Linked DNA regions of Nothobranchius furzeri. The main gene of each other region encodes a partner of the protein of the gene in region 2 in a complex. Links are inferred from orthologs where the notes say so. Each region holds a gene or a part of one and is shown on either strand. Other genes may lie near its edges.

Region 1 (4,020 bases), on a different chromosome or scaffold from region 2:
TCCTGAGGCGACACGTTAGCTTGGACCGGATAAGAGCATCCCTATTTAAAACTGCATTTGTTTTCTAGAAACCCCTAAGAACAAACCAGAACACAGAGATACCAGAATAAGGATCGTAGAGACAAAACATGTGTTTATAGCGCTGAACCTGAGTTTGGAGCAGCGAAGGATCCTGGTGAGCGAGACACAGTTTCCCTCCATCAGCCCTTTTCCCACAGTGGGAATGGACCCCTTCCTGCAGGCAGCGTACAGCGAGCAGGCCAGCCAGTGGACCACATCCCCCTGCAGACAAACAGCAAATCACTTTAATTGTCTTCACTCAGCATAAACAGCAAACTGGGAAACTAATACTCCACTATTTCCAGTACACAGAGCGACTCAGCAGATACAAGAATAGCTGCAGAAACAGCAAACAGAACTACACGGAACATGACTGAAAACCTATGTGCACATTTTAATTACTATGTTTGATTTTTGCACGCAAAATTCTGCCATCTTTAATTAATGAGACAGCTGAATGGTCCAATTATTTATAATTCAGAAGAGTTTAACGACTAGCATTTTATCATCTATTGGAGATATGTTTTTATAATACAGACAGACTATTAGTATTTTTGAAGGTCAATTTCTCAAACAAATATTTTTCATTAATAAATCAGAGAAGCAACCATTTCTGAATGACAGATAAACTCAAAGATAAACGGAGCATCTGTTTGGTTAGAGGCCTTATGTTTAAAAGCATAACTGAATCATTTGAGGTTAATTCAGTTTCCCCCTCTCCCCAGGTCAAGAGTCTGGGTGTCATCCTAGACAGCACACTATCCTTCCAATCTCATATCAATAGCATCACACGGTCAGCTTATTTCCATCTTCGTAACATTAATCGTCTTCGCCCCTCCCTTGATGTCCACTCTACTTCTATTCTTGTCCATAGTCTGGTTACATCGCGTATCGATTATTGCAACTCTCTTCTCTCAGGCCTCCCTCAGAAAATCCTCCGTAAGCTCCAGTTGGTCCAGAACGCAGCAGCACGCATCGTCACTAAAACTCCCATCTCTCATCACATCACCCCCATCCTCAAACAACTCCATTGGCTACCAGTGCACACCAGGATTAACTACAAGATTCTCCTTCTCACCTTCAAGGCCATCCAAAACCTCGCCCCTCACTACCTCACAGATCTCGTTCACATCGTCACCTCGTCCCGTTCCCTCAGGTCCTCCTCCTCCATTCATCTCTCTGTGCCCTCCTTCCGTATCAGCACCATGGGGAGTAGAGCCTTCAGCGGCACCACTCCCAAACTCTGGAACTCCCTTCCCCCTCTCATCAAGAACATTAACTCATTCACAGAATTCAAAAAACAACTCAAAACCCACCTCTTCATTACCACATATCAACTTTGAATTTTAGAGAGCCTTGTTTGTTGATGTTTACGTATGTTTACTTATTGAATGATTTGTGTTTTTATTCTGTACAGTGTCCTTGAGTGACCAGAAAGGCGCTTTTAAATAAAATGCATTATTATTAATAGGTAACGATGTAAACAAAGCCAACTAGCATCATTAGCTGTAGGAGGTTAAATTGTCAGGTACAAACTAATCTTTCATAATCTGTACCTAGATTAGGATTAGAATCGTTTTGAATAAAATAACCTTGTAACACCTCTCTGTGTGAACGTTTCTTTCCGTGAATCACCTTTGACCCCTGAGGATATAATCAGTGTTTACACCCATCCCTCAGACAGAAGTCTTCTAACAAACACTGCACAACTTTTGTTGATGTCCCGTCATTTTAGACGATGCTTCAAACTGACTGCACTACAGTTGTCTATGTTCCTGTCACACGGATTCAAAGGCAAAAACAAACAAACAAACAATTCTGATACTAATCAGGGTGAACAACAAAAATCAGGATTATATAGTGATTTCTGATACGATGTTAAAAGGAAACTGCTTTTAATTAAGATGTCAATAGTATGTATGAACAATAAAACTGATATTAATTGAAAAAGAACATCTGCTGCTTTGTTATCAGACTAAAGAAATCTTAAACATTGTTATTATTGGTCAGACCTTAAATAAAGCCGATCCATTTAAATAAAACGGATTTATTATTCACTCAGATGTCACTACCATGTTCTACCCATGGTTTTACCACAAATAAAAGACAGTCATAGTTGTTTTACGGTAAAATATATTTTACCTGGAAAAAATATTTCAATTTGATTATTTTTTATTATTCTTATGTAATTTCAGGAGGATTTTAATATTTGTTAATAATCAGTCAGTCATAAACTAAAAATAATTGTTTTGTTTTGTCCGGTTTTGTCTGACGTTTGCAAATGCCGTCGATCGACTGCTCGACAATATGTTTCTGTTCCTGGATGGAAGATTAAAAACAGGTCAGTTGTTGAATCCCTTTAATCTCAGTGTGTGTCAGCACTGAAATCCAGTTCTATGTAGGATGAAAGTTGTGGCTGATTAATTCGACAGTAACTTGTTATTAAAGAACATTATTCACCTCCAGAGTGTATGTGTTCCATATGGCTGTGAAGTTGTCCATAGCTTCAGTAGCGGTCTGTTCGTCCATGTTCAGCTCCTGACACAATGTCTCCAAACTCCTTCGGACTGAACTTTCCTCCATCCTGCCCGACTCGGAGTCCGACGACTCGTCACCCCGCATTCGTTCCAATGTACAGCTACAGCATCAAGTTTTAAACAACCCCCAGAGCCAGACGTTAACCAGCAAAACGCTGCCCTCTCCCAAACACCAACAAACAGGCTCCACGAGCATCCCACTTCCGCCTACAGTTCCCACAATGCAGTGCGTTGGCGCGAAAACCCTGCTGCTCTGACCAATCAAAGTCAAGACATGCGAAGCCCTCTCGCCCTCTTGCCCTACCCCTCTCGGTCTCCTTCAGGAGGTCGCTCCTAATTAAAACCACCTTTTTATGGAGTTACAGCTGTCTGAAATAATTAACTTTAAAAAGTAAAATTACAAAATATGCCGAGAAGTCGAGAAAAGAAGTATGCAATAACAATTTGGTAGCAATTCGTTAACTAACGTGCAGAGGGCAGTGTTCTGTTATTATAGAATTCCTGCTCATCTAATCAAAGGTTTAAAAAAGTGATTTTTTTTTTACAAAATACAATCCACAAAATCGGATTGAGTCTTAGAATAAAACGAATGTTACAAGGTGACCTTTTAAGTGTTCTTATTCCTATTGTTGTCTACAAAGGGAATGAGTTAACATATTATGTAGTATACCCTATAAAATACAATTTTTAGAACGATGCAGACTGCAGAGCCTGCCAAGAATTATTGTCTTTAATACTCTAAAATGTTAATGAAATAGCTGTTTAATAAAAAAAAAACAGCAATGCTCAAAACACTGTTAAAAAAACTTTGTTAAAAACACCAACAACATATCTATTTTTCTCTCCATGTCCAATTTGCAGGTTGGGGGCTATTTGTAGCTCTTGAAGTGCTTTTGTTTGGCCCCCACTTGCATTTCTAGAATCATGTGGCTCCAGATCCACCGGTTGCAAAACCTCTAAAAACCCATAAATATAACACAAGCTATCTTAATTTAAAGTAAAATAATTATTTATATAAGACATGTTTGGTTGTTTTATAGTAAATGGAACATTGTCCATTTAAAAGAATGAATGAACACAAACTCAAAACATTTTTGCTCAGATTCAGTTTATTGATGAATTAAGAGACAATAAAGTCAAACCCATAACCACATCTTTTTAAAAATATAGTGTAATAACAGCATAAAGGATGTTCACAGCAACACCACCAAATTTGTGATAGTCTTCATTATAAAAACAAACCTCTAACCGATGGTCTAAAGTAGCATTCTGCTAAACCCAACATACGTAGAAAGTTACCAGACTTGATTATTACAAGACTAAACACACCCTTAAAACCAGCTTTAAACTATTTTATTTCTAACTTCAAATGATTTATTGTTTAAATATTACAGTTAGTTTAAAGAGAAAGTCACCCCCAAAT
Region 2 (4,037 bases):
CAAAGTCAAAAGATGGTTCAGTTATACCTTTGCTAGGGCTCAGATTCTGATCGATGAAAACCTTCAGCTCTCCATTTGTTTCAATCAAACCAGCCTGTAAAAGACAAAACTCATTATGCTGCAAATATAGAATATTAAAAATAATATAAGATAGTAGTGATGCAATAATGGATGCTTAAGTGTGCATATCTCCTTAAATTACACCAAATGGGTAATTGGATCATTTTGCAATTTGGGTTTATTGTCAAACATTAATGATGGTTTAGAATAATAGGTATGCTAAAACAACAAGAACCATCTCATCTGGCTACAAGATATAATGTGCATATGGATGAAAATATTGAGGGAAATTACTCACATCTTTAGCCATGATCCCAAAGGACCTGAAGGAGTTTAGTTCAGATTAAAAAATTGTTCCTTCTGTCACTCAAGTGTTCAGACCCCTGCAGAAGAAATGAAAGCTGTGAGCAAAAGTTTCAAGCTTCACTTATTTATAACATTTTCCTATAAATCCCCACGGCACAGATGGATTTGAATGAGCTTTTGCACTCATTTATGAACCCAGGCCCATTTCAATGGTTGGCTATGAGCACAGCACACTACACTAAGCTAATTCCATCATCATGTTTACTCCACTTTTTCCTCAGTTAGCAAAACAAACCTGGCGGAAATTACAGCTAATTGTACAAACCGCTGCGTCATTAGCCTTTAGATGTAAACACAAAAAAGCACAGTCAACCCTCACTTGATGCCCACAACTTTTACCAAGCTATGTGTGCACAAGGCCTACTTCAGGTACCGATCACGTCCGGAGGAGAGGCATCGTCCAACTTCTGCTACAGGTCACGAAAACGTGCCAACTTTGACGAAACTGTTGATTTTTCTCCACGGAGATTAAAATATAGTTACAGATAGTAAATCAGTCCACCACAGAAGCAGGTTTCACACCACATGTCAGTAATAATGAACAATCTTTTGTTGACTACAGCCGGCTAACCGTTACTGCTAACAGCCTGCTGCTCCTTAGCTTGCTAGTTAGCTTATGCACGTTTTCACACGATTGGCAGAAAATTCAGAGATTTCTGGTCCGAGCTGCAGATTATAGCCTTCTTTAAGTAAGAACTGATATTGGAAAAAAGCACTGCGCGTTTTGCACGATTAGAGGGGTTTAAATTGCGAATCCGTGCACTTACGAGTGCACTCTCTTGTCTCTTCGACGGCTGTTGTTGTTGGCATTAGAGAATGGAGGAAGAGGAGGTCTAAATCCCATCCAAACAGGAAACAAACTCAGCAATCCTAATGTACTTTTAAAACTATTTTATTCATAAATCAAAGTTATTCCTTTAAAGAACTTAAGCATATGATTAAAGAGTTGTTTTTCCTCAGGTCAGTTTTTTGTCGCTATGTCAAAAACTGATACCAGGATTTGCCTGTTGGTCGAGTCTGGCAGCTGACTAACCATTAAACATCATTCATCTCATCAGAGAAACTGATCACAAAAGCAAGCAAAATGAGCTGTACAACATTTTTGTCATGAATATAATGCACTAACCAGTTTTCAAGTTAAATTAAACCTAACATTTTAAAACTGCATATTATGGTAAATAAACAACAGTATGTTAACAGGTACTACATTTCAATTTAATAAACATACAACATAATGTGTGGATCAAGCCCATAGATTTGATCTACATTTCTTCTAAAAGGAGTTCATATTAAAGTAATTAAGTCAAAGAAGTGAATAAAAAACTATATTGACACCATTAATTCAGGGACCTGGGCCTGCAAAAGGAATCAGTTGAAATAGCAAATTTAATATATAATGTTAATCGGAAATAAACAAGTTATACAAATGTAAAGTAATTTTATATTTTGGGATTCCGCAATTATCTGCTACAACTGATCACATTCTCTTAAACGTTCTCAGTAGTTTTGATCTCATTCATGGGCCTCTTGGTCACAACAACCTAGTAAATCAGAACAAAACAAATCTAATTAATCGATATTTTAGCTTTTTGTGCAAAAAGTACACTTTTGAAAAAGTTAAAAACTTCATTGAAATGTTTCAAGCCAATTAATCACGCTTTAAATTTTTATTTAAATGAATATGTGGCTTAAACAAATAAAATTTGTTTATTTTAATTCGTTACAGTAAAAGAAAGTGAAAGCTCTTTCTACATTCAGATGAGTTACATATTTCAAACTTCATGTCTGCGGACTATTTAAACAAGTCCTGTTGCATATTCTGTTTAGTAAGTTATAACCGTGGTAATAGAAACCATGACAAGATCGTTAAGTAGATCGATGATCAACACTTCGCTAGTTAGCAACTGGTTATCAAAGCTACGAGCTAACTCGATATCAATGAGAAATCGCAACCTCCAGCGCTTTGTTAGCCCACTAGCTAGCCAGCAAGCTAACTACCAGCTGTCATCGAGAAAGTTTACCATTGTTAGCTTCGTGTGATATCAACACTTTTTCATGTCGACCAAGACATAAAGGCCGTTTAAACACTTGTATATGAGCTCTGGTCTGCGCCGGGTGGGAAGCCACCCTACAGTGGATGCATCTTACCAGAGCACTTCACGTTAGCACACCGTCAGCTAGCCTTTCCACGGCTCTCTGCTAGCCTGTCGCTTTCAGCAGTGCCTCTCACAATCTGATCTTGGCGGCGTCTCGCTACAGCGGCGTCTGATTGGACAACACTGGTGTGACGTAACCATAGCAGTGACGTGAGTCGTGCCCACAACCTACTTCTCCTGGGATTGGTGGAGAGCAGGCAGCTGCAGGGATGCATTTACCGCCATCTGTTGCGCAGGAGTAGGAGGAGGATTTTTCATTAGTCGCTATTATATCTACCAGGAATAGTTTTTAGGCCTGTCACTTTTATTTCCTCTTTAATTCGATTGAAAAAAATACCACACACCACACTGAATGATGCCAAATTTCAGCTGATATATCTGAATAGAATAGAATAGAATAGAATAGAATGGAATAGAATAGAATAGAACAATCCCACAGTAGGGAAATTCACTTGTTACAGCAGCACCAACACTTAAGAGAACAATTTGATTTAAAAAAATAACAAATACATTTGCATACAATGTATACAATTGGAAGGCTGCCTTTCCGTGTCTTGGCCCATCACTTGGTCAGATTATCAATGGGAGCCTCTGCACAGGTGTGGTCCCAGCTGCTTTGAAAGCAGCAGTTATTCGGCCGACCCTGAAGAAACCTTATGCTGATGTCTATGTGATAGAAAATTACAGGCCTATCTCTACCCTGCCTTTCACATCAAAACTGCTTGAGAAAGTCGTTTATCAGCAGCTGGTCTCACATTTAGCTGACGCTGATCTGTTTGAGGTTTTCCAATCAGGGTTCAGGTCTGGCCATAGCACAGAGTCGGCTCTACTGAGGGTCCTAAATGACATCTATCTATCACTAGATCAGGGTACATCTGTGGTGCTTCTGTTGTTAGACCTGACGGCAGCCTTCGACACAGTTGACCACGCGATTCTACTAGATCGCTTGGAACGATGGGTTGGGATCAAAGGGTCTGCTCTGGATTGGTTTGGATCTCCACAACAGAACATTCTGCGTTAAACTGGGTGATGTTTTTTCTTCTTGGGAGGGGCTCCGCTGGGGGGTCCCGCAGGGATCGATCCTTGGTCCTCTTTTGTTTGCCATTTATCTGCTTCCTCTGGGGTCAATCTTTCGTAAACATGGCCTATCATTCCATCTCTATGCTGACGATTGCCAGATTGATGCTCCATTGTGTCAGGAGAAAGGTCACTATATCCAGTCCTTTGTGTCCTGCATTAACGAGGTGGAGTCTTGGCTAATGGCCAACGTTCTGCATCTGAATGAGGGAAAGACAGAGCTCATTGTTTTTCACCCCAACAGCAGGAATGTGGATCGTCATGTTGATCTTGGCCCTCTTTCTCCCTACTCAAAACCAGTTGTCACCAGTTTGGGGGTGAAAATTGATGCTGGACTTAAATTTGATGCACACATCAACTCTGTGATCCGGTCCAGTT
Region 3 (4,222 bases), on a different chromosome or scaffold from region 2:
AGCTCACCTAGTAAGACGTCTGACTCTCGTGCAGAAGATCTGGGTTTGATTCTGGATGTGAACATAGTATAATTAGAGTTTACTTTTTACATTAATGGTATATTTTTTACAGTAAGATGCCCAAATTTTTATTTGAGACTCGCCGAACGGCATTTGAAGTCACAGAAAACCAAAAACGTTTCATTTTGGAACAATTTTTCAAGCAAGGGAAGGGAATGATCTGAGCATGCAGGAGGACTGACCCATCTTAAACCTTTGTCGGCTGTGCTGAAGAGAAAGGTACAGAACCAAATTATTTAATTAATTAGCTGCGCGTTCTCCTGTCCTCTGTCCTCCGGGCTACACACACACACACACACACACACACACACACACACACACACGGGACTGTCTCAGCTGTTACTTTCGTTAAGGAGTGTGCACGTACAGCATGCGCGCCTCGTGCACGAGCCTACTATTAAAGCTGCTGTTACGTTTTTGGCCTGAGGGGGCAATCATGAGCATAAAAATTCACAAGTCCGTAAAGTCCCTTTAAGGCTCGTCGTCGCTGTACTTTACTTTCATTCTAAAGAAAAGCACAGTTCCTTAAATTTGAAAAATCCACTATACTAAAACTCAAAAGTGCGTTTGTGGGTGCATACCTCTGGGAGGAGCAGGCGTAGAAGGCGGAGCTTGACCCGTGGGAGGTTGGGTGGTGCTGATGTACTGATGGTCACTATCCAGGTCCAACTTCCTCTTTACCTGAAGATGGAAGCATGGAATACGTTATATTTGTGTGTTACCTAAAGATGCACGGAGTCAGAACGACATCCTGTGGTCAAATCTGGGTACTGCAGTCCGTGAATCAAAACAAACGAGTCTGTTCTGAGCCACTGTTGCCAGTTACGGCACGGCACCAGAAGATTCTAGATGATGAGCAAAGACGAGTCATACGCGGTAATTTGACGAGTAGATAAATATATTTTGCTGTAGTATCGAAGTTTGCTTGTAATCCACCGTTAGCATTGTTAGCTCAATGTTAGCCTCTGCATTAAGAACACAACAAAAAGAGGCCGTGGCTTCTTCGGGGTTACATGAAATAACGTCGCTCTTTTTACTGACTTCCATTTTGTTCCACAACGCCGCAGCATCATGCCGGCCGATGTCAAATTACAAATGTCGGTGCAGACTTGGCAAACCTGCGGGCACGTATGATTGGCTCTGGAACCAGGAAGTACTGAATTGGGACAGATTGTAAACAAAGACTACCTTCCTCTTTGGTTTTTAAGTTAAACTAGGAAACCTGACGACCCCATAGCCGGCTGAGAAGGAAATCTGTTTTTAACGTAACCGTTCTTCCAATACCACTCAGATGTTAGACTGTTATGGGATTATTTCACAGTAAAATTATTGTTGCACCTTGAAGAAAATGCTTAAAAAGCAAAATATGACATGAAACTTCTCATTTAACCTCATCTCACTCCCACTCTCCTCACCGGAGGTCTTCCCAGAGCTGGCCGCCTCTTGTCCTGGGCCCCCACGTCAGCGGGCCCCTGTGGCGTGGCGAACAGCAGGATTTCCCCCGTGCTGGTCGGGGCTGCAACAGGGTGGAGTCCCTCATTGCTGGGGCTGGTGATGATGACTACCTGATGGTCCTCGCCCAGTTTTATACTCCCAGAGTTCAGCAAGGTCTCAAAGTCAACCAACAGATCCTCCGATGTCTGCCCTGTTATCAGAGTCTCTGACATTGCACTGGGTCACCAAGTGCTCCTTCACTAGTCTTTGGGTGTGCTGGGAGGGGTCACAGGCTAAGATGGTGTACTCTAAAAGCACATCAGCACCTGCTGACATTTGTAGTTCTCTGTAAATTCGTGGAGCAGGAGTAAAAAATGCTCAAACGTCCCAAATTGGAACAAGTTGTTTTCCTCACAGACAAACATTTATTACAGTTTAACTCAAAGAGTGATAAATAAACAGAACTTGCCAAATCAACTTCAGACCGAACGGAGAAACTGGATGTTCTGCCAAACAGGAAAATGACAGATCATTGCTAAATTGCACAATATCTCTACGCCATGAGGGTCTAACGCGGGATTAGCACCTAAAACAGGGTCGCGAGACCCTGCCGCGGGTCTGAATAAACGCTAAACATAAGGACGCCAGCGACGGAGCGAGCAAATCTTTTGTTTTCGTGCCTCCTGTCAGCAGAGTTCGGCCGCGGCCTGAACACACAGCTACCGACACGGCTAGCAGGCTAACTCATGGCTCAACAACAAAGCCTCGGAATAGTTCTCGAAGGAGGCGCGGAACGAGCCGTTCCCAGCCGTAAAACTACCACAATCACCAAACATCCGAAACTGGGACAACGGTTAAGCTACGGAAACTTTAAATCAGCTTTTCAAAGTTAGCTAACAAAGCAAAATACAGAGAAGTCGAACGGCATCGCCGTGACTCAAAAGCATCATTGATTGGGTATTTATGAAAACGTCTGGCTAACAAAGACCTTATAACAGTTACTATGTTGAGTGTGGAAATGTAGGGCAGATTAGCATGTTAGCTTTAGTCATTAGCCGCAGTTCTTCAGTCCCCTCGTTTTGTTGGGGCACTGCAGGAAGCAGTCAGACAAAACTGGAATTAAAAAAACGAAACAAAACGGTCAAAGTACAAACGCATGCTTTAAAACCGCCGCCGATGCACTTTCAGCTGCTCACCAGGGCTGCGGTTCTCTCATGAAAGTGTCCACCCGAGCCCGATATCAGCCGTTATTGTTGTTATTGTCCCAGCTGATCTACATCTAAACAAGCGTTGGTCGGTTTTCGCGCGAAATCCATTTTGCCGCGAAAGTTGCACGTGGGGAAATCTGACGCTCGCCATTGGCCAAAAAGATGCACATTCTTCGAAGAGAAACCGGAGCTTTCTGATTGGTGTAAATGAGTGTCCGTCATGTAGACGAGCACAGACTAGTCGATATGAAGATGCGTTCAGGTTCCACGGAAGAACCTCAACTAACTAGCGTTTACAATCATTTCGCTTAGATCAAAATCAACATATCAATGATACATTGATCTGATGTCACATATTAAACATTTAATAACATATATTAGTTATTGAAAAGCCGTGACCGAACTTACAAATTAAAGTCCTTACGTGACTTGTATTTTATTTTGCATGCTATTTAAAACATTTGATGTTTTAGCTATTTTGTTTTAAGACTGTCAGGAATGTCCACATCATATTATAAACAGTTTATGCAGCTCTCTATTGAACAGTATATTTTTTCAAACACGAATTATTCGTAAAAATCTCGTCGAATTTACAGAATAGAAATGTCCTTTAGGTAGCAGCCCTTGCTAATCGAGCGCCTATCTCTCAGAAATCTGCAAGATGGCGCAGGCAATATTCGAGGTGCTTGAAGGTAGCAATATTTTTGTTAACTACATAGCTACCAACATGTTTACATGTCAGAAAATATTTTTTATAGATAAACATGTTTAGAGCCATTTTAAAATGTGGAAATAATTGTGAAACTATGCATAGGTGTTTACTAATGTTACAAAAATCAAACCACCCTGCTAGGTTGGTATGTACATGTAAACAATAACGGTGATTAATTACACTACGTATGTTTAATAGGTAGTTGATTATTATTGTGCTACTAGATTATCAAGCAGAGCTTTTAAATGTAAACACGTGCATTGTTTCCTCCCCCCTCTGTTGTTTCACTCTCTCTAGGCATGGACAACCAGACTGTGTTGGCTGTTCAGTCTCTGCTTGATGGCCAGTCTGGAGTTCCTGACCCAAATAATCAAAATGTGTCAACCACGCCCACTATTCAGTCTATGGGTAAGCAGTAGGACGCACTAGCATATAAGTTAGGCTGTCATTGCTTTCTTTTATAATTTATTTAGGGCAAGGTGCATTTGGCTGTTGGTTAAAATAAAAATAATGACAACAACCACTTTAATAATAATAATAATAATAATAATAATAATACAATTCGAGGTTCCTTTTTAATAAAAGAAAAAGGGGAAATAGCAAAGGTAAAAAAAACGTAATAAAAGCAGGGACAAAAATGCAGCTGGACACAAAATGGATTTTTTAAAAGATGAGCTTTTAAAAATGATTGAAGAGTAGAAACGGGTCGATGATGCCCATTTCATGAGGAAGAAAATCAGAGGGGAGCATGGAAAGGTAGAACTGGATGTCGTCTTTGTAGCAGAGGAAATCGATATTAAAGCAACAC

Evidence for each region. The genes of interacting proteins can lie anywhere in the genome.
Region 1: the proteins of tfdp1a (region 2) and rbl1 are in contact, whole or in part, in a crystal structure (PDB 5TUV), measured with the Homo sapiens proteins. The link is inferred for Nothobranchius furzeri from reciprocal best matches to the Homo sapiens genes TFDP1 and RBL1. Residues at the interface, in NP_009042.1 of Homo sapiens: Pro260, Phe261, Ile262, Thr290, Phe291, Glu292, Ile293, His294, Asp295, Ile297, Glu298; in NP_002886.2 of Homo sapiens: Tyr1004, Phe1006, Asn1007, Ser1011, Leu1014, Ile1017, Asn1018, Ile1021.
Region 3: the proteins of tfdp1a (region 2) and e2f1 are in contact, whole or in part, in a crystal structure (PDB 2AZE), measured with the Homo sapiens proteins. The link is inferred for Nothobranchius furzeri from reciprocal best matches to the Homo sapiens genes TFDP1 and E2F1. Residues at the interface, in NP_009042.1 of Homo sapiens: Glu201, Cys202, Leu205, Glu206, Glu208, Arg209, Arg212, Leu213, Arg215, Ile216, Lys219, Gln220, Gln222, Leu223, Leu226, Ile227, Gln229, Gln230, Phe233, Lys234, Leu236, Val237, Arg239, Asn240, Arg241, Glu244, Pro251, Ser255, Val256, Ile257; in NP_005216.1 of Homo sapiens: Arg202, Leu203, Leu206, Thr207, Asp209, Leu210, Leu213, Gln214, Ser216, Glu217, Leu220, Asp221, Leu223, Met224, Ile226, Cys227, Thr228, Gln230, Leu231, Leu234, Asp239, Ser240, Gln241, Arg242, Leu243, Ala244, Tyr245, Val246, Thr247, Cys248.

The regions. Positions count from the first base shown.
Region 1 is NC_091743.1:73,535,665-73,539,684, forward strand, and holds the start of rbl1 (retinoblastoma-like protein 1), read right to left. Parts: upstream 2,806-4,020; 5' UTR 2,683-2,805; coding exon 2,521-2,682; intron 283-2,520; coding exon 149-282; intron 1-148. UniProt on the Homo sapiens protein: Key regulator of entry into cell division. Directly involved in heterochromatin formation by maintaining overall chromatin structure and, in particular, that of constitutive heterochromatin by stabilizing histone methylation.
Region 2 is NC_091754.1:25,779,603-25,783,639, reverse strand, and holds the start of tfdp1a (transcription factor Dp-1), read right to left. Parts: upstream 2,803-4,037; 5' UTR 2,575-2,802; intron 1,319-2,574; exon of another isoform or gene 1,194-1,318; intron 913-1,193; exon of another isoform or gene 766-912; intron 444-765; 5' UTR 371-443; coding exon 359-370; intron 95-358; coding exon 28-94; intron 1-27. UniProt on the Homo sapiens protein: Can stimulate E2F-dependent transcription.
Region 3 is NC_091755.1:51,396,389-51,400,610, reverse strand, and holds the start of e2f1 (transcription factor E2F1), read right to left. Parts: upstream 2,806-4,222; 5' UTR 2,691-2,805; intron 2,608-2,690; 5' UTR 1,728-2,607; coding exon 1,476-1,727; intron 742-1,475; coding exon 642-741; intron 1-641. Other genes in the region: znf341 (zinc finger protein 341), read left to right, coding at 3,364-3,394, 3,712-3,822. UniProt on the Homo sapiens protein: Transcription activator that binds DNA cooperatively with DP proteins through the E2 recognition site, 5'-TTTC[CG]CGC-3' found in the promoter region of a number of genes whose products are involved in cell cycle regulation or in DNA replication.